Linked DNA regions of Oreochromis niloticus. The protein of the gene in region 1 purifies or fractionates together with the protein of each later gene. This does not show direct contact. Links are inferred from orthologs where the notes say so. Each region holds a gene or a part of one and is shown in the gene's direction. Other genes may lie near its edges.

Region 1 (10,212 bases):
TGTTTTCTACTCTACTCAACGTCCAAGATTGCAGGTGTGTTAGCAGTAACGAACATGAAGAAGCAGGAAAAGTGACCAGAGGTCATTAATTGTCACAGCCTCAGTCATGGCTGCCCTCACTAGACACATTCAACCCAACCAGAAGCAAGAAAACACAGCAGTTCACATCATAAATGAACAACAACACAACATAACCACAATATGGGCATTGACGCTGTAACTTAACACATTAACATCAACATGAAACGTCCCATGATTCTCTGCAGTGGCCTCTCTCCTCAGGCTGCGACTTTATGAAGGTAAAAGTTTGAATAATAATAATAATGGATTGCATTTATATAGCGCTTTTCTAGGCATCCAAAGTGCTTTACAATTCCACTATTCATTCACTCTCACATTCACACACTGGTGGAGGCAGCTACAGTTGTAGCCACAGCTGCCCTGGGGCAGACTGACAGAAGCGAGGCTGCCATATCGCGCCATCGGCCCCTCTGGCCAACACCAGTAGGCTGTAGGGCATAGGTGTCAAACTCTGGCCCGCGGGCCAAATTTGGCCCGCGAAGCCATGCCAAATTACTATTAGAGCTGGCCTACTGGTATTATACAGCTAATATATATATCGTTTAGTATTAAGCTTTGCTTGTTCCATATTCAGTTTTTCAGCAAAACTTGTTTGAGTCCATAAGAAAAGATTCATTCTTATATCTGGAGGAAGATTTTTTTTTTCAATAAATATTAATGTTAGCCCACGACTTTGTTCCAGTTTTGAATTTTGGCCCACTGTGTATTTGAGTTTGACACCCCTGCTGTAGGGTAAAGTGTCTTGCCCAAGGACACAACGACCAGGACAGAGAGAGCAGGGGGATAGAACCGGCAACCTTCCGGTTACAGATGAACTTCCCAATCCCCTGAGCCACGGTCGCCCCACAATGTCTTCAACAAACATGAAAAAACAAACAAATACACAAAAAAATTTAAAAAATCAGCTGATTTCCCCGGGTGTACTTTGAATTTGACCATCCCAGCAGTTTGAACATTGCCACAGCAGCTTTACTGGGAGAGCTGACCTTTCCTGTCATCACAAGCTTCTTGAATGTCTTCCTGCTTTCCAAACACTGTTTTCACCATAAAAGTCTAAATCCTGCCGAGCTTTTAGTCTTTTTATAGAGAAAAAGTGAGGTGGATGTGAAGGGATTAAGATTCCTGCTGTAAGAGTAAATCAGCTGCTCTGTGTTCTGTTGAAGCCTCGTCTTCATTTTTATAGATCAAGGCGAGAGTAACCGAGGCTTAGAGTATTCATTAAGGTATTTGTCACATAGATACAACGCCATATAAAACAAATATAAAAGAGGTTATTTTCACGAGGCACAGAGATTTAGTGGGGTGTTGATCACAGGGTGGTTAGCAACGTAAAAATGTTGTTTCTTGTTTTGGTTTTTGAACTTAAATAGTTTTATGTATGTACCGTATATGAGTGTAGACTTGTATGTAGTTAAACATGTGTATTGTGAGATTATATGTCGAACTCTGATCATTAATTTGCAAATTATAGAATTTGAAATAAGGAGGTAGAAACAAACAGGTGTAAACTTCATCCTGCTCCATTAAGAGCACAAACATTGTTTGGATGTAGAGATATTCATGACCACTGGATGTCTTTACTTTGTTTTTCTGGTTATTTTAGTTATATTTACATGTTCAAAATAAACTCTATTCTGTTCTATTTATTTATGAGCTTTTATCTTATTTTTTATTGCACAGAAAAAAGATGAATCTTTAAGAAACAATGGCAGAATTTTCTCTTCGGGGTAAATCCTACACCTGTAATTTTTTTTTAAAACTTTTTGTGTTGCAAAAGGAGAAAAAGGAGGCGAGGATTATCGGGGAGACAGAGGAGGAGGAGGAGAAGAGTGAGAGATGGGAAAAGGACACTAGCATTAAACAAAATATTAACTTTATAAAAAGCATCTTAAATAAGCTTGAGCTGCATCATTTATCAGCAGATATTTTTAGCCTCTTTGTGGGTTTTCTCTGATTTTCCCATGAGGTCCAGCGCTCTCTGTAATGATTTCGAGCTTGTGTGTGTGTGTGTGTGTGTGTGTGTGTGTGTGTGTGTGTGTTAAATTACTAAAGAAATCAAAAGATTGGCTGTGGAGCATGAAACATCCGTGTGCAGTGGTCTGTAACTCAATGATCCAGGCATGCACTGAGTGCTTAAAGCCTTCAGTCCAGCCATGATGTGAATATGAATGTGGCTCTGATGGATGGTGGGAAAGTCCCGCTCTGCTAATAATCAAAAGACTGCATGATCAGCGACGAGGCTGGAGACAGCATCAGACTCTCACCTCACAATTATTATGAATATCAGTGAAACTCCTTTATGACTGTAAGGAGGTGGAAACTCTGCAACCAGATACCAAGAGAACAATCACACAAATATTTACAGTATCATCATATCTGTAATATAAACATCCACCCGTCTACTCTCTTCACCTCTTGGAGCCTGTCCCAGCTGTCACAGAGTGAGCGGGTATACACCCTGGACAGGGCGGCAGTTTAACACCAAGAGACAGACAATCCTTCCCCTCACATTAGAACCTCTGGCCAATTTAGATTCACCAGTTAACTGAACACGCGTGTCTGAGGGAGGAAGCTGGAGAGAAGCCACACAGACACGAGAAGAAGGCCCCAGCCGCTGGTTTTTAACCCAGGACCTGCATGCTGTGAGGCCAACCACTGCACCACCCATCCAAACACAACAACATGATATCACGCTGGCTGCTCACAGTTTCACATCAGAGCTCAATGAATGAAACACTGAAGTTGAAAATCTCTGCTGACATACATCGTTTAAACAACACGGCGTAACAGCGGTGAGTGTAATCCAAAATCATCAACCCTTTGAGAGCTGGATTCAACGCCTCCCACAACTTGTTATAGATGTCTTTACGGAAATGTGGTCACTCGTGTGGTAAAGATAAGGATAGGTTATGTGAAATCTGTTTAAAAAAATACCATTATAAGCTTTGAGTTTACTTTTCCACTTCTAATCAGAACACTGTGATGTTCTGCAGTGAACCATGGCTAACACACCGAGACCCAGAGTGAAACTGCTCAGCTCGTGGAAATGAGTCGAAAAACTGCGATAAACAACATTTCAGAAATTTTTCAGAGTGTCGGTCATAGATGAAGGGAACTTATACGGGCATGAGAAACACTTTTAAAGAGCCTTTACAATTATATACCTGTATAAAATATAGTGGAGACATCGATGACCACACTCAGTCATTTTAGTTGCTCAAGTATCATCTGAAGGTTAATAATTATGGATTATGTCAGTATGAGTTCATCCTAGCTCCCAGCTTCAGGTACAGTTATGTTTCTAACAGGTGAGTCTGCAGGAGGCGTCACCTGAACGCTGCAAACATTCATACACATAAAGAGCCCAAAGCCGGCTTCTGTTTTGCCTTAATGATGCATTCGCTGTTTAATTTGTGATGTAAATCAGGAAAACAACAGCTTTACTCAGCTGTTTGAGATATTTTATTTCACATTTTTTCAAATGACTTCTCAGTTTGAGATGTTAAATAAATTTACGTATCCATTTTGTTATTATTACACACTTCAGTGAAATGCAGGTGTCTTTAAAACACCTTAAAAAACTGTTAAATATCAAATCCTGGAAGTCACTTAATCGCAGAGAGAAAACGGACAAATAAAGAGAAGTTTCTCACCTGCAGCTTCTTTCTTTCTTTCTTTCTTCCTTTTTATTCGTCAGTTATGTCGTGCCGCGTCTGAATAAACACTTTGCTGTCTTTCTGTGTGCAGCGTTCACATGTGTGTGAAGACCACCGCCTCCTCCGCTTCCTTTAAAAGCACACACACACAAACACACACATAAACGCACACACACATGCAGCAGGGCCGGCTTCTCCTCTTCAGGGTCACCGGGGCAGCAGTCAGCTGCTGGGCCCCTGTTTAACTCTGTATTATTTTCCAGAAGCTCTGTAGAAATGAAGAGCTCACACGATCAGCAGATGACAGATGAAAATGTTCTGAATAATATAAAATAATATATGTTTGATTGTAATTTCTGGTGTAATGAAATTATTTTAAAAAAAAATTCCAGTGATTATTATTAATCAGATATTAAAGTGTTCATAATAATTTAAAACATGTTTACAATTAGAAATAAATCATTTCTTTTTCTGGGAACTTTTTATTGACATTATAAAGTATAAAAATGCTTAAAAATAAAGGATATAAAACATCCAGAAGCTCTGCTGAACACACATGAATGACTGAAGTGATGCTGTGTTTACCAAAAGCAATACGAAGCAGATGTTTTGATAATGAAAATAAAAACAAGCAGAAACTTTTAGAGAAAAGTAAAGCTAATTAACTGGAATCCATTAGAAATCGCTTCATGAGGTCGGCATTTGCGAAATCTGCAGCTGCTGCAGGACTCGGGAGTAATTCCAGATGTTTCAGCAGATATTGAGCTGCCGCGGAGGTTTGAATGTGCTTCACTGCTGCCACCTGCTGGACGCAAAGAGAACTGCACTTCATGATGAAACAGTCCAATGGTGAGAAAGGAAAGCTCCAAACATCAGAGCCGAGTTTATAATGATTGTTTCTATTAAACAACATCAGAAGATTTCAGACCAAAACAGTCACAAGCTGCTCACAAGTGAGCCGTAAAATTAATAATTAATAATTAATACCTGTGGCAGTAGCAGCTGGGACAGGTGTTAATCATTTAAAAACAGCAAACACATGTGCATGCTCATTCACATGATTTATACAGCCTGTTTTCCTCCTGCAGACCTGAGGAAGGATTGCTCCTGAGAAACCTTCTGTTCACTGTGTTATTGCTGTGTTCACAGACTGGAGTCCAAAGATCAGAAATCAGTTTTATTCTCGTGTAAAGTGTCGTGTGACCCTTCAGACCGGGGGCACTGCAGGTCCCTGCACTTTGGTACCTCTCAGTCTTCACGGTCTTGTCTGCAGGGTTAAACCTAAAGATACCTCCAAAAACCCAAACGCGTGTTCCAATGTCACAACCTCCCCTCCAGCAGGTGGCGACACACACCCGCCGTTTGTTTGTGCTCCTCGGTCAAAACTACAGAAGAGGAAAACAATAATGATGCGGACACAAAGAGATTTTTGCAGATTTTTGGTGAGCTTGTAAAACGAGCGAGAGGCTGCAGCTTCAACCGGAGAAGCGACTCTTCTTCTCCTCCTTCTCCTTCTTCTTCTGCGAATTCAGAGCAGCTGCAGCAGCTCATGGTGAGTCCGGGTTTGTTTGTCATGTTGTACTGATGGAGGAGAAGAGAGGAGCAGCTCCCTTTTTCTCCATCCTGCAGCCCAAACGCGGGCGGCTAAAATCGGCAGAAAAGTGAACGGAGTCTGGTCGGAGCGGAGCAGCAGAGGCGTGAGGAGAGCTCTGCTCCTGCAGGAGGTTAAAGCTGTGTTCAGGGAGGGCTGGAGATGTTGTCACGTGGTTCGTGCAGACCGCATGTGGAGAAATCAGCTGTTAAATCGCTGCACGGCGACGGGTTTCAGGTGTCACCAGGCGGGTTTTTAAAGGACACTTTAGTGGTTTTAATGCAGGCTCGTCTGTTTCACATGCTTCTGTTTTCTTTTAACTTGCAGTTAGTTCCCACAATCAATTCATGATGTAAATAAAGAGGGAAAAATGAGTAACACACCACAGCTTTAGTCTGATGTCGTTGTGTGCAGTCTTTGCTTCTGCACACCTGTGGTGGCTCGGACAGGGAAATATTAGTTATTAATGCTAAACAGAGAATGATATATTGATTGATTTGAATGAATTTGTTTGGACACTCTAAACCAATGTAATACAGGCTTAGTGCGATAACAGACATCATAGAGTGACTTCCAGGAACTGTTATGAGGTCTAATGGTCCATTGGAGTGAACGGAGTTGATGTGACTTTCAGTATTCGGGGTTCTGTTTCAGTCCCGGCTGAAGGTCCTGAACCTGGTGTCGTGCTGTCTGCACAGAAAAAAAATGAAACTACGCATTACTTCCTTGTTTTTGTGGATATTGTTGAGTTATAAACAGATCGAATGAGCCTCTGGGTCCTGGTTTTGTGTCTGGACTTTGGTCTATGGGGTGTTTAGTTAATCCAGGTGTTAATCCAGAGTATAGATTAAGTGTATTAAATAAAACTGTTCTTAGACCTGAAACTGGTCTGATTAAATCTAGATTTTTTATATTTTCCAAATAAAAGCCGCTCCACAGTCTCAGTAGTAATCTAGTCCAAGATCCGCAGGTCTCAGAGGAGTACTTTTTAGGTCATGAACCGGGTCTGGAGTTTCCTGTCACGTTTCTTCTGAATCCAGGTTCCTCAGGAGCGCATGCGCAGCGTATGCGCAGAAACATTGGGTAGGATGATTTGAGTAGAATAGATTCGCAGAACACCCCGCCTCGTCTTTGTTGTATTTCTGGTTTTCACGAGGCTGCCACAAACGATTATTTTGATAGTCAACTAGTCACCGATTATTTTTGCGATTAGTCGACTAATCAGATCATGCATCCATTGGATGTAAAATGTACAGCTTATTGCATCAGCATGCATCTGCTCTTATATAACTATCAGTAGCTTATAGTTGAAGTGTTTAAGGTATGTGCTAACTAAAAATAAAGACAAGATGATGGTTTATTAAACCTTTAATGAAATTTGCAGATTGTCTCAGTGAAGTTTAATAAACTCAGCGTCTGCTCCTTGCTATCTAAAATATAACAGGACATTGGAGTAAATTCTACCATCTCACACTTCTGTTTAATCAGTTTTCTGTGTGATGTTTATTCAGCTGTGGGAAAACTATCACTTTAATCTCCAAAGGTTGAATCTGTTCATCTGGACGTAGCGTTTTCAGTGGGAGAAACTTACCCAAGTGACTTCTTCAGTCTCAGCTGACTGCAGGTTTCCCCAATCTTATAAACAGTACATTTGCATAATGACTAAAACCAGCCGACTGAAGATTCAGCCTCAGATGCTGACAAAACAGGATTACTCCTAAAAGTCTGCAAAAGGCTTCCGGGCAACAAAAATCCTCCAGAAGGCACAGCACCAGCTGCTTAATGAACAGGTGAGGCAAACAAATTTTACCATCGACATGCTAAAATCTCAAGAGGAGCGGATCCGACAGAGACTGACAATGCTTCTAGACGAGAATACTCTTAAAAAGGTGTTTGACTTCACTGAGAAGGCTCGTCTAGCACAGCACAAGAAGACTAAGACCAGGCAACAAAGGAAGTTTGACTTACTTGTTGTATGTTGGAAACCACAGCAAAATACGGAGAGTGCCCTCAGCAGCCAGAAGAGACAAGGATGCGACATGGAGGATGTGGACAAGTGGGTGAAGAATTTGTCTGACAGACAGCTCACCCAAGCAGAGAAAAACATCCTTGCTAAAGGGTTGAATTTTGCTGTCACACCGAGACAAATCCCTCTAGTGGAGCTGATCACAGCCACAGAAACAGCAATTCGAAACAACAATTTTGCAGAAGTGGAAGCAGAGCAACTACGGACGAAAGTTTCGGCCTGTCTCAGCAATTCAAAGCCCCCAGCATCCAACATCACCATGGAGGAGAGGAAGGCACTCACATCACTTAGTAATGACAACAACATTATCATCCTACCGGCAGACAAGGGTAGGTGCACAGTTTTGCTAAACCAGAAAGACTATCATGAGAACATTTTGTCACTGCTCAGTGATGAAAATACTTATGAGCCCCTGAAACAAGACCCAGGAAGTGGCTACAGGAAGAGGGTGATAGACTGTCTGAAGCAGTTGGAACAAGACAAGGCTATTGACCGGACCTCATACCACAGGCTGTACCCAGGGGAGTCTACACCAAGTCTGTATGGTTTACCGAAAATACATAAGCAGGTTGCACCTTTAAGACCGATTGTCTGCATGATCAACTCGGTCACCTATAACATCTCTAAGTTTCTGGCTTCGATCCTCAACCCGCTGGTGGGCAGCTCTGAACACCACATCCAGAACACCCTGGATTTTGTTGAGAAGGTGAGAGATGTCATTATGGAGGCAGATGAAACCATGGTCTCGTACAATGTTACATCTCTCTTCACTTGCATCCCAGTCACGGAAGCGTTGGAGGTAGTCCGTAAGAGATTACAGGATGACACCAACCTCAACAACAGGACCACTCTCAGCATCGACCAAGTGTGTTTGCTTTTGGAACTGTGTCTTCATTCAACCTACTTCACATACAAGGGTCAGTTCTACAGGCAGAAACATGGGTGTGCCATGGGCTCCCCAGTTTCACCCATCGTGGCCAATTTGTACATGGAAGAAGTGGAAAAGAGGGCGTTGCTATCCTACCCTGGAACACCACCAAGCCATTGGTTCAGATATGTGGATGACACCTGGGTGAAAATCAAATCTCAGGACGTACTACATTTCACGGACCACATTAACTTGGTGGACGGACACAACAAATTCACCAGGGAGGATATGAAAAGTGGCAGGTTGGCCTTCTTAGACTGTGAGATTTCCATCAGTAATGGGGGACATCTAAAAGCTGACGTGTACCGTAAACCTACGCATACGGATCAGTATCTAAGGTTTGACTCTCATCATCCACTGGAGCACAAACTGGGTGTCATCAGGACGCTACAACACAGAGCGAACACCATCCCCACTGACACAGCGGCCAGGGAGGCAGAAGACAGCACATCAAGAAGGCCCTGAGTAAATGTGGTTATCCCAGCTGGACTTTTGTCAAAGCTGGGAAGCTCCAGCCGATCCAGGAGAGAAGGTCAACCGCTGCCCAGGCGAAAACCTGTAGTGATCCCATATGTGTCAGGAGTATCAGAACAGTTGAGACGCATTTTTTCTAAACACCGGGTCTCTGTGGCTTTTAAACCCCAAAACACGCTGCGCCAAAAACTGGTCCACCCCAAGGATCGGGTCCCCCGACACAAACAGAGTAACATAGTGTACGCTGTTAAGTGCCAGGAGGATTGCCAGGATTTATACATCGGGGAAACCAAACAACCTCTAGCGAAGCGGATGGCACAACACAGAAGAGCTACCTCGTCAGGCCAGGACTCTGCAGTTTATTTACACCTACAGGCCAGTGGACACTCTTTCAATGATGAGGATGTACACATCCTGGACAGGGAAGAACGCTGGTTTGAGCGCGGAGTCAAGGAGGCCATTTACGTGACAAGGGAAAGACCATCTCTGCATCGAGGAGGGGGCCTAAGGGTACATCTGTCACCATCTTACAATGCTGTGATTGCAGCCATTCCCCAACTCTCTGTGAATGGTACTCATGACCATTGATCAGTGGTTGTTGATCAATGGTCATGATAATTTGCGCAATTATGATTAAGGAACTGACCTCCCAGCCCATTGTTCCTTCAGTGGGCTGGTTTCAGTCATTGTGCAAATGTACTGTTTATAAGATTTGGGGAAACCTGCAGTCAGCTGAGACTGAAGAAGTCACTTGGATGAGTGAGGAAACGTTTCTCCCACTGAAAACGCTACTGAAAACGATGTGCCGGGAGTTCACTGTTCACGCCGGCTCTAGTGAGCCTTGAACCCCGGCTAGCTATCAAGCTGGTGGGTAACAGACGTCTCCGAAAACATCGGAGCACTTTTACAAATATGTGATGTCTTGATAAACCGAGCAGATATTTGAAGTTTACACAGCTACATTCTCGCCTGAAAATATGTTAAACGTTTATTTTGTGACCCAGAAAGAATAATAAGAGTAATATTAAAGCTAAGTAGCTGCCGCCATTGTTGGAAACTGGAATTGGCTGGGCCACGCTATGAATTCTGGGATAGGTTGGGCCATGAAGGATACACCCGACCCATCCTTCAAATCTGGGGAAATGAAGGACGCATTTGTCTGCCGCGTTTGGAGGAGTCTTCGAATTTGGAAAGCCTTCGCCTACAAATGCGGCCCCTGAATTTGGACACAGCTACGATACCAGAGACTGCTTCTTCTTCTTCTTTGGCGTTTAACGGCAGCTGGCATCCTTGTACATGCAGTGCTGCCATCTTCTGTTTCAGTCCGTTATTACACTCTTAAATCCTGCTGTTTATTCCTGCATCTTTTGGGACCTTACAAAGCGTCAAACGATTCGTCAACTATTAAATTAGTCGGCGACGATTTTGATAGTCGACGTAATCGTGGCAGCCCTAC
Region 2 (10,818 bases), on another chromosome or scaffold:
ACAATACTTCTGTTTTATTCCACCCAGAGGACAAATAATGTGGCCACTGAGCTAAAAAATAAACCCTGATGTCTTCTCATACAATGTGGAATTTAAGTGAAGAAAAGAATCCTGAATCACAGAGATGATCGTTGATGTTTTTTTGGTCTTACCGGCTGTGTCATACAGGTTGAGCTTTATCTCTTTTCCTCCGAGAGTGATAGTCGTGGTGTATTTTTCGAACACTGAAGGTGCATACTTCTGTTTTTGACACACACAAAAAAAAGATTTTCAACTTTAAGAGACAGCGTCATGTTTATATATCCCTTCATTTATACCGATTTGAAGTGTTTCAGAGGTGTGCCCCGTTAATCTTTGGAAAGGCAGCTTACAGTGCTGGGTGTGACAGGTTACAGTCACACATCAGAACTTTGTTAATAAATTCAGAAAGCTGTAATGAGTGAAAAGTGACACGGGAGCTCTTCTTACCTCTGGAAAATCACCTTTGGCATAAACCATCAGAAGAGATGTTTTCCCGCAGCCTCCATCTCCCACAATTACAATTTTAAGTTCATCTCCCTTTTTCTTGGTGCCGTTCCCGGCACCGTTTTGTGTCATCTCGCCTCCAAAGTGTCACGCAGGTGCTCCCTCCAGATTTAACTTAAATACATGACACAGCCTAGCGAGTCTATTTTTTGAAGGGTTGAGATGATTTACAGGGAGTGTCAGGCAGAGTGAGGAACAGCCAAGCCTCATGTTTTACCAGGTAGCTCACTCTGCTCACCACTTCCTGTTCCTGTCACACTGTCTGCCTCCAATTGACCCCCCACTTCTCTCCTCTCCTATTATGAGCCTGTTCACTGAAAGCATGCCGCTCTCTCGCTAAATTACACATGTGAAGCGACTGAGTCTGGCTGCTCCTACTTCCTCTACCGCAATGTGTTTGCGTATTTCATTTTCTGGGTGGGTACTCAGTCTGAAGCACTACCCCCACTGACCGCGTGGCGTGTGTGTGTGTGTGCGAGGGATAACACTGAGAAATGCTCACTTTTCACGCTGATCCTACTGATGCAGGATCAGCAGGTTTTTGTTGACGCTGACAGCTGTCACTACAGAGGTTTCTAGACTCCTGCCTGTGGAGGTGTGAAGCATTGTCTTGGTGAGACTGAGTGGGTCACTGGGTGCACCCATCTAAATGTGAGCTTTTTCCAGGTAAAAAGCCTGTTTTGGTTATCTTTTCCACTTTCAGGCTCAAAAGATATATCAGTTGGAACCTTAAGGAAGCATGCAAGCAGCTTCCAGGTAGAATATTTAATATATCTGAGGAGAAAACAGAGCAACTGAGAACCAGCGCTTCCAGATTAGACAAAAATAACTGTATATTACTTTAAAATTAAAGTGTTTTCTGTACCATGTGATCGTTTTGAGTCCTCAGCAGGATGTGAGTAATGCTTCTCTGCTGTGACATCACAGATGGTACCATCAGGACAAACTATTTTCTCTCTTCCCAGGGTGCAGTTTATGGATGTGGGGTTTTTTGGTCTTTTTTTACAATGTGATGAATCTTTTCAAGGGCGTGAGGATTTTTTTAAAGTTTATTTTTGTATTTTTCAGTGTTTTGGGTGTATTATCTTGTCACAGGGGTGAGTGTTACAAACTAGAGCTAAACACTGATGTGGCTAGATATTAAAAGACACACACAGCAGAAAGTGTGAGAAAGCAGGTTTGGGAACGTGTTTCATTGGCAGTGTAGATGACTGGTTATCAGTGACTGTGGGTGTCGGGAGAGAGCAGATCACAGGGAACAACCGTATATGATCACAAAACGCCAAACACTGCATTTCCCCTGCCATAAAGGCACTTCAACATGCTGATGTAGACTAAAAAGTCAAATTAAACCCACGGGTGTTTAATGATATGGTTAGCTGGATCATGGAAGTGCTGAAAATGTGAGCAACCTGTCCCTTTAAGAGAAAAAGCTGACACCCTTCCTCCATTTCAAAAATGTAATTCTTAAAACGTGAATAAATTGGCACAAAATAAACGTGTTTCTACTCAAAATTCCTCCAGTAATCTCACCCCACAGCATGTGAAACATCCCGTATATTGTGTCATCACAGCTAAGACACAGTTTTAAGGATGGGCCCAAAAATTCAACAAAGTCTCCTTTTAGTTTCCATAACAAGAAAACAATAAAATTAATGCATAGTCTATTTATTTCATCATCTCACAAACACACACGCACACACACAGACAGACAAGAGGCAATAAAACTTGCAATGAGAGTATGTTACAGATCATTATGTGGAATAGTACAGCAATACACTACACATGCAAATATTTAAGAGCTAAGAAGAAGAAATCTGGCTTGGTTGGTTTTTTTTGGTTGTTTTTTTTTACAGTACCAAGCAATCTCTGCAGGGGGACGAGGGGAAAAAATCCTTGAAAAAGCCAACTGTGCCCATAAATAATGAAAAACACGACTCCGAGGAATGCTTGATTTGATTCAGTCCGTCAGGATTTAAAGCTGAAAGTACAAAAGCCATAAAAAAAATAGACACAGCACTGTACCTGTCAGTTTGGTACAGTATTTAGCGCAATAAATTTTAAAAGAAATATGTTGAATAAGTAATTTTTTTTAAAAGTGCTTGATTGACTTACAAGGTGTAACTGGCAGTATAACATATGGCTTAAAAGGATATTAAATTGTTCTTACATATCCACACGCATACAGCCCATTTTCATCAGTTAATAAACAAAGAACAATTGTTAAAATATTATCACTCCGAAGAGAAAGAGACAGCTGTCCTGCAGGGGAAAAAGGCCAGTCCTCTCTGTGTGGAATATTCCAGACTGTCAGCGGCAGCGCTGAACGGGCACAACCCACTCGGGAAGCTTTTTTTTTTTTTTTTTTTTTTTTTTTAAACAAAAGAAAAAAGAAAAAACAAAAGGCCTATAAGTAACCCAATTGGTGTGGATTTCATCGCAAATCCATCTCCAAAGTAATGTCACATTTTCACTTTTTTGTTGTTTGTTTTAAACGCATCCATAAAACCCTCTACATAGCTGTAACCGTGGGCTGGCTGTGAGCAAGGAGAAGCTTAACATAGAGAGAGAGAGAGGGGGGAAGGGTATTGAAGCCCTGTGACCTGAATGCGCGCACCCGGCAGCTTAGAGCCGGCAGTTGATAACAAGAAAAACAGGCCTCTGACACGCACACTGACACAGACAGTGAAAGACTGCACCATTTAACTAAAGAGGTGTATCTAGAGACCCTCCCGCGCCCCATCCATTTTACGTACGTGAATAAAGACCCTCCCCTTCTGTATATTTAACTCCTTCACCGAAAAAAAGAGGTTCATATCTTGTTTGTCTAATCTGGTAAAGCAGCCGTTGATCCGCTGGACTTTGAAGCGAGAGCTCACGCGCACGCTGCGTGCTATTTTCGCCTAGATACCAAACAACAGAGCTGCCGCTGCAGTGGATTCTTCGTGACCTTATATGGCAACGGTGTGTAGGAGGGGGGGAGGGGGTTCCAACGAATGCGCTCGAGCTCTCGGCGCGAGTCAGCCTAGCAACCGACCGCCTGACTACGCCGGTTTTATGAAAGTTTCCTTCCTCACACGCAGTTGTCGTCTTTTTCTTCTCTTTTTATATTCGTGTAAAAACAGCCACCAATTTGGATTAAATAAATAAAAAATAATCACCCCCCAGTGGCGCTTCGTGTGGTTACTTCCTGCTGAAATTACCCTCGGATTAAAAAAAAAAGGAAAAAAGAGCCGCTCTCTTGAGCCTCACCCAGTTATGGCGCAGCAGCTTTTTCACGGCACAGTGCTCTCCTTTGTCTGTAAAGAAGCCATTTTGAGACAGAGAACAGCAGAGAAAACCACTGAACAAGTGTTGCCTACATACCACTAAAAAGGTCTCTGTTTGGAGAGGGGGAAGCAGTTTAAAAAACACAAGATTTCTTCCCATAAGATTCTTTTTTTGTGGCTCGTTTAAGACTTGGATTACATGTTTTGAATACTGCCTGTAAGTTTGCAATATCATTAAAAATGTGGGTTACAATTACTCCTTTTTCCCTTTTTTAACAATTACGCTGAAGTCATTTTGTATCAACTATTTCTTTGATGTGTGCTCTCTTATTAATGTAGACATATAAAGCTGGCAAATTGAGTGAAATAGCTCAAAAATCCATTACCTGTCCAAAACATTATCCTTGCAGTTTTAAGTGAAGTGTAGATCAGCTAGAAATGTCGAAAAAAAAGCAAGAGAGGCTATTATCGACTGCAATCCTGTCTTCAGGGAGAGAGAAGAGATGGTTTTGCATATTGCCCACACAGATGATGCTTGAAGATGCATATTCGCTGGCTGAGAGAGGCAAAGCTACCACTGATCAAAAAAAAAAGTTCTCAAAAGAGCTCTCTTTTCGTGCTAATGGATTCCTTCCTTTTCAGGAGACGCATTCCCACCCCTTATTAATGCCATTATTAGAGGATCCGAAGATGGAGCTGAAAACATTCCTCCTGCCCCTGCGTTTAGGCCTGTTAACTGCTGAGGTAAATATTTTCACCCTGAAAGTTTTCCCTCCATCTCTTTAATCTGAGGTTGTGTTTTTAAAAGAAAAAAAAATCGCTGTAGAAGCTGTTAAAAAAATAAATAATTAAAAATGGTGGTGGTGAAGGGGGACTTCCTAAGTGGGCTTCTTTCTAAATTTAAATTATGCCCTTGAAGCAAGGTCAAGTCGACAATTGCACATTTGGCTCTTTCTTAGGTGGACAGCACAAACCTAGTCGATTCAAGCTGTCTCCACAGTTGCAGTACAGGGCACAACAGGAGACACCAGGGTGTTTAAAGCGTTGCTGTTGTGAGAGGAAAAGTGGGAGAAGTTGTTAATCAGAGCAAATGGATTATCAGTCAACAAACTATTTAACAAGTGGCCATTAGGTCTCCGTGGCCTGCTCCTCAGTCATCTGAGGAGCACTGATGCTACAAACCCTGCACCTCTAGCAGTGTATGTTTTAATGTCAGCATGCCAGTGGACATATTTTTTTTTTAAACAAAGCTGCAGCATTTTTATGTGATCACATAGCTCAAGTAGACAAAAGTGACAGACATACTTTTAATAACAGTAACTGCATGCCTCACATTTTACATTAATTAGTTAAATTTAAAAATAAATTATGATAAAAGACTTGAACTTACTCATTGCAACTCATATCCTACAAGGCCATAAGTGCAATGCCAGCAAGCTGCCATTGCACATTTTGTCACTTTGTGTTTTTTTTCCCCCACCCCAACCTCTATCATTTTAAACATCTCCAAAAGCATAAAGCTGTTTATTCACAACACTTTTGGTTTCTTTTCACTTAAGAAATATAAATACTGGTATATGGGTGTGCCATGACCTAGTTAAGACAAAGATGGATTCCAAGGCAGAGGAAAAAAGGCTCAAAATGTCACGGGGTAATTGCATCCAGCACATTCTCTTCCTTCTTCTCAATCCTTTAAAAGGAGCAATCATAGTTTTATCATAGTCCGTGAGAGATGAGGAAATCAAATGTAAGATCCCTTTGGAACAAAGGAAACCCATATAGGCCATTGAGTCCTGTTTAAGGAAAATGGCTGCCGAGAGCGCTCAGCCCCCTCTCTCTGCTCTCTGTTGAAGGACTCCTGAGCCGTGCCTCTAATAGCAGACGGCTCCTCTGCTGCTGCGCTCTGATTGGCTCGTCGAGCTACCGCTGTTAACCAGCCAATTGCCCGAGCACTGCAAACAGCACCAGGCAATGTCAAACAAAACCCAGCTTGTCCGATAGAAACGCACCTCCACTGAATTAATTCACAAACTAAGAGAAGCACAGTCAGGTTTATTATTATATAAATAAAAGCGCCACCGTTTTTTTTAAAATGCTAGCATAACATTAATAATTTTTTTAAAAAAAGAGGACAAATGGGGAACATACGCGACGGTTTGGCACTAGTTTGTTGCTGTAACCGCCGCGTTCCAACGGTTATATAGCCGGGTAGCGAAATCGCGCTGCCAGCCAAGCGAGTGTTCGTATTAAAATTCCAATTCCCGTGTTTGACATTTTTATATTAGCCGCCATCACCAGTCGCCGTAATGACTCTTTTACCCTAAAATATCAACCGACATGTCCTGAATTTACAAACGGCCGCAATACCGCACAGAAAAGCTCGCCACCAAAGCAGTTTTATTAGCCCTTTAGTGGCAGTTAAGAAGATATTACCCCCTGTGTCTGCCTTGTGTTTGCCAGTTAGGTAAATACAGCCGGTAGATTCAACACTATATGTCGTTTAGAGGATTTTTGAGACACTAAACTATCGCCAGACCTCATTCAGTCGCGGATATAAATGGGAGCGTTTCTTTGTGGCCCGCCTAAAAACACTTTTATTTTATTGTAAGGCTAATGCAGCGTTAAATAAGCTGCGGCCATGGAGGCAAGTTTGTAACGAAAGTGCCGTTGGAGGTGGGCAAGCCTAGCGGTGTATTGTGGGAGAGACAAGCAGCTACAGACCAGAGGCACACAATATGTGTTGGCTCTCGCCGAAAAGGAGGCAGTATTCTTTAAGCTAAATCATGTAATGTAAGCGGCGAAAGGAAAGCGATTTCGTCTTTTCATCAATTAAAAAGAAAACAACACTCGATCGGACGAACCATGTCCAAGCCAGGGGAGAGGAACAGATTGAACGAAGACCATGGCAGAAAGCAGAGTTCAAGTAAGCTTGTTCTTTTTTCCTCTTTCTCCAGCCCTCCTAATGCCTGTTTTCCCTAAGTGGGATATACGCTAGATCCCATTTTTCGCTCTCGCTTGGGGTTACCCCCGCCACCGAAGTCATGCATCTGTAACGTTTGGCTGTTTTAAAGTGTTGGAGGAGGTGGAAAGGGGGGAGGTTTTGCTGGTAGGAGAACCGTGCTTAGCGCTTGGCTCCCGATAACGTTAGCTCTCCTCTCCTTGTCGCTGCCTGTCGTTTCAGGTTTGGCGAACGGCATGGACAGTCATCCCGTCTGCGGCTCGGCGGAGAAGCGGAGTCACCACTGGAGAAGTTACAAGTTGATAATCGACCCGGCGCTAAAGAAGGGATCTCACAAGCTGTATCGCTACGATGGACAGACTTTCAGCATGCCCGTAAGTGCCGCATTTGACGCGGCGGAGCGGCTACAATAGTAACCGAGTAGCCGACCTCCATGATAGGTTACAATGTGGCTGTGCTGGCCGTGGGTCGGTCACGGGCACGTTCAGCATCTTGAACACGGTGCCCGGAGGTGTTCGTGTTGATTCACCGACGCAGGACAACTTTGCAACAAGTTAGTAGCGTGTGGAGCTGTGAATGGGATGGATAACGGCATTGTGTGTGTGTGTGTGTCTCTCCCCCCTCTTCTCCCACAGAACCCCGGGATACCACCGGTGGACATCGTCAGAGACCCCAGGATCGGTCGTCTGTGGACTAAGTACAAAGAGACGGATCTGCCGGTGCCAAAATTTAAGGTATCCACTCTGGCTTGAAGATCGATGCCACACTTTTCCTTGCGGATACGGGGTGCTGTCAAAAGTTGCAGACACACCCCCCTCTCACTCATCTCCGGGATGCGAAGTGAAAATGTGCCTGTCGGGGACCAAAATAATACGCTCTGCTCTGATGCTTGCCTGCATTTACGGACTCGACCGAGTGCATCAACGCGATCTTTGAAACTTCTCCTAGCAGTTGTTATCTCAGCTGTCAGAAATGACCCTCCACACACGCGGTGCAACATTAACTCCTGTCATTCTTCTTCCAGATCGATGAGTGTTACATCGGCCCCGTGCCTCCAAAGGAGGTGACTTTCGCCAGGCTCAACGACAACATCAAGGAAACATTTCTTACCGAGATGTGCAAAAAATTCGGAGAAATCGAGGAGGTCGAGATCCTGTACAATCCGAAGAACAAGAAGCACCTGGGAATAGCCAAAGTTGTTTTCGAGAGTGTGAAAGCCGCCAAAGTGGCCGTGCAGTCGCTTCACAACACGTCTGTTATGGGAAACATCATCCACGTGGAGCTGGACCCGAAAGGTAAACAAGAGCTTGAGCTTGCTTTAAAAAAAGGAAAAAAAAAAATCAGAATCATATGTGTTATAAGAATCGGGAGCACAAAAATATGACAAGTTAAGTGTTTCCTTTAGGGTGACAGCGTTCACGTGTGCACATTTACGTGCGTTGCCTGGTTACGTGGATAATTGAATTCATTCATTGAATATAAGCCTGCTCCCACAAGCCCAGAGCTGACGGTGCTGTGCACTCCCACTGTGCATAATTTCAGACCTGCAAACAAACACAAGCCAATCTGTCCGAGTCCTCTGTATTTTAAATAGTTTGCATTTAACTTAAAACTAAGAAAAGAAGTTAGTTTTTCAGTTGTTAACACTGTTTGAATTCCATGTCCATGCATGTTCTGTCTTGTTATGTTTTTTACTGATGCAAAACAGCAACTTGAATGCATCTAAAGATACCACTTTAGCAGTTTTGCTTATTATTTAATGATGTAAATATTGGCAAATATTTTGACTCAGAGCTTGCACTGTTTTCATTGTCCGTAGTAATGTCTATATCTTAAAGTATTACCCCAAATTGATGCATTTTTTCCCTAAGTGTGATTGATGTCCTTTTAAGAAGTGCAGTTAGGGTTTGCTTTTTTTAACAATATGCTAAAGGCATGCATGCTTTTTTTAAAATTAAAATATGCTGATCAGTGGTATTTATCCCAGAACATAATGACATGTCGCTGCTTTAAAATATTTAGTTTGGAGTTCAGCTACTGGAGAATAATCACTGTCACTTAAATGATGCCCGATGAGGTCTGTTGGCTTTGTAAACCTGGCATCAGACCCAGACATGTTTACTGTTCTGCAGGTGAGAATCGCCTGAGGTACTTCCAGCTCCTGATGAATGGCAGCTACACTCCACGGACGCTGCCTGTTGGTGGAGAGGAGGCCAGAGAAGTTTCCCCTCGAAGCCTGGCAGAAGCCTTACTGGTAAAAAAACAAAAAGAAATAAAGCTTAGGTTGTGCAGTTTAGAGTTAAATAGTAATTCAGTAGTAGTTTTGTGCTCATTTGTTGAAGGTCAGTTTGGAGGAACTGTTGCACACTCTTGTGTAGATGCTTTATTGTGCTTTGTAGAAATGGTTCAAGATACACCTGAGCAGGAGCTCAACTTAAAGTCAGTCAAACCTGTGGCTTTGTGTCTTGAGATGTCCTCACACTGCTGAGCTACCAGCTTGCTATTTTGATTTTAAAAAATCTTAGTTGCTTCAGTTCTTTGAGAAACTGATTTAAAGAATCTTCTTGAACCTAAAGATTTTCTCGACAAAATGCCCAAATTAGAATTTGCCTCTAACAATTTCATATTTGTGTCCTCTAAGGCTTGCGAGCCCATCCGCAGGTTATCAGAGAGCGGCGTGTCTGCTGGGGGAGGAACATTGCCACCCAGCAGTTCCTCCACCCCCCTGACCTTGGAGACCGGCTACTCCAGCCTAAGGCAGGATACGCCACAATCCCAGGGAACCCCTCATACCCCTCGCCAGGCTGGTACGCCCTTCTCTCAGGACTCTAGTTATTCCAGTCGGCAGTCCACGCCTGCCTACCAATCCAGCCGTCCTGAGAGCTCCGGAGGTTACAAATCTCGCCGACACGAGAGTAAATTTCAGGATGCGTACAACCGGAGACCGGAGAGGCCTCAGTATCGCAGCAACATGTATCGAAGTACGCCTGAGCAGCCTCCTTTCAAACAGCACCAGCTCACACCACCTGAACCTCCACCTTCCACCACTTCTTTCAACTACACAGCGCCTCCCCCCGCTACACCGAACTTCAAGTCTGCTTTCTCACCCTACCAGCCCCCTTTGCCCCCTGCGTTCCCTCCAGCAGAACCAGCTTTCCATCACCCAGCCCAAAGGGAGGGTGAATACCTCCGACCGCCAGAGCCGCCTCTGACGGCTGCTGTTGACTTTTTGCCCGCCAAGGAGCGACCACAGACTCCTCCGATCCCAGAGCCTCCGCCACCAGAGCCCGCTCCTCATCCAACCACCCCTCCTCCTCAAACGCCAGAGCACTGCCCTTCACCCGGTTCCCCCATTCTGGATCCAGAGCGGAACAGCCTGGATTCTCGCATTGAGATGCTGCTCAAGGAGAAAAGGACAAAACTGCTGCCGTTCCTGGACGAGCGGGACTCGGACAACGAGGTGCGAATGGAGGGAAGTCCGATTTCCTCCTCGTCCTCGCAGCTATCCCCAATCCCCCCTTACACAGGCGGCTCTCAAGGTGGTCAGCAAAATTCCCGTCCCTCCAGCACAGGTTTGGAGGACATCAGCCCCACGCCACTGCCGGACTCGGAAGATGAAGAGCCAATTCCCGGGACTGCCTCACTGATCAAGAGAATCAGCTCTCCTGTCCACGAGAAAGAGAAAGAAGGATCTTTTGGAGGCCACTCTCCCGCTGAAAAAATGGACACGGTAAAGCAAATATTTGTTTTTTTAATACCCTGATATTTGTGTCCAAATAGCGCCATATTTACCCGCATGCTTGTCACATTTGACAAGAAACAGCGCACAGGTGTGTGCAGATGCTGCTTCAATTACCTCTCATTAATGGCACTGATTAAGTTGATGGAAGCGCGGTGCTGATGTTTACGCGCAGCTGTGAATGACAGTTACACAGAGGACACAGGAAGTCGGGTCTAGTTTCAGTGTGCGGCGGTAGTAGTAAACCTTCCCTTTTGTTTCATTCTTTTTGTTCTGCTTTGTAAAGGAAATTCCGGTTTCACAGCAAACCATGCTTTAAAAAGAAA

Evidence for each region. The genes of interacting proteins can lie anywhere in the genome.
Region 2: the proteins of cxxc1a (region 1) and setd1ba purify together in Homo sapiens (affinity purification with mass spectrometry; 11 studies listed by BioGRID and IntAct, counting the BioPlex papers as one, with this or other methods). This does not show direct contact. The link is inferred for Oreochromis niloticus from reciprocal best matches to the Homo sapiens genes CXXC1 and SETD1B.

The regions. Positions count from the first base shown.
Region 1 is NC_031984.2:4,924,621-4,934,832, reverse strand, and holds the start of cxxc1a (CXXC-type zinc finger protein 1a), read left to right. Parts: upstream 1-5,025; 5' UTR 5,026-5,286; coding exon 5,287-5,289; intron 5,290-10,212. UniProt on the Homo sapiens protein: Transcriptional activator that exhibits a unique DNA binding specificity for CpG unmethylated motifs with a preference for CpGG.
Region 2 is NC_031972.2:22,366,216-22,377,033, reverse strand, and holds the start of setd1ba (histone-lysine N-methyltransferase SETD1B-A), read left to right. Parts: upstream 1-5,767; 5' UTR 5,768-6,656; coding exon 6,657-6,717; intron 6,718-6,975; coding exon 6,976-7,127; intron 7,128-7,388; coding exon 7,389-7,487; intron 7,488-7,777; coding exon 7,778-8,048; intron 8,049-8,885; coding exon 8,886-9,007; intron 9,008-9,394; coding exon 9,395-10,483; intron 10,484-10,818. Other genes in the region: rho-related GTP-binding protein RhoF, read right to left, coding at 153-240, 3,778-4,029. UniProt on the Homo sapiens protein: Histone methyltransferase that catalyzes methyl group transfer from S-adenosyl-L-methionine to the epsilon-amino group of 'Lys-4' of histone H3 (H3K4) via a non-processive mechanism.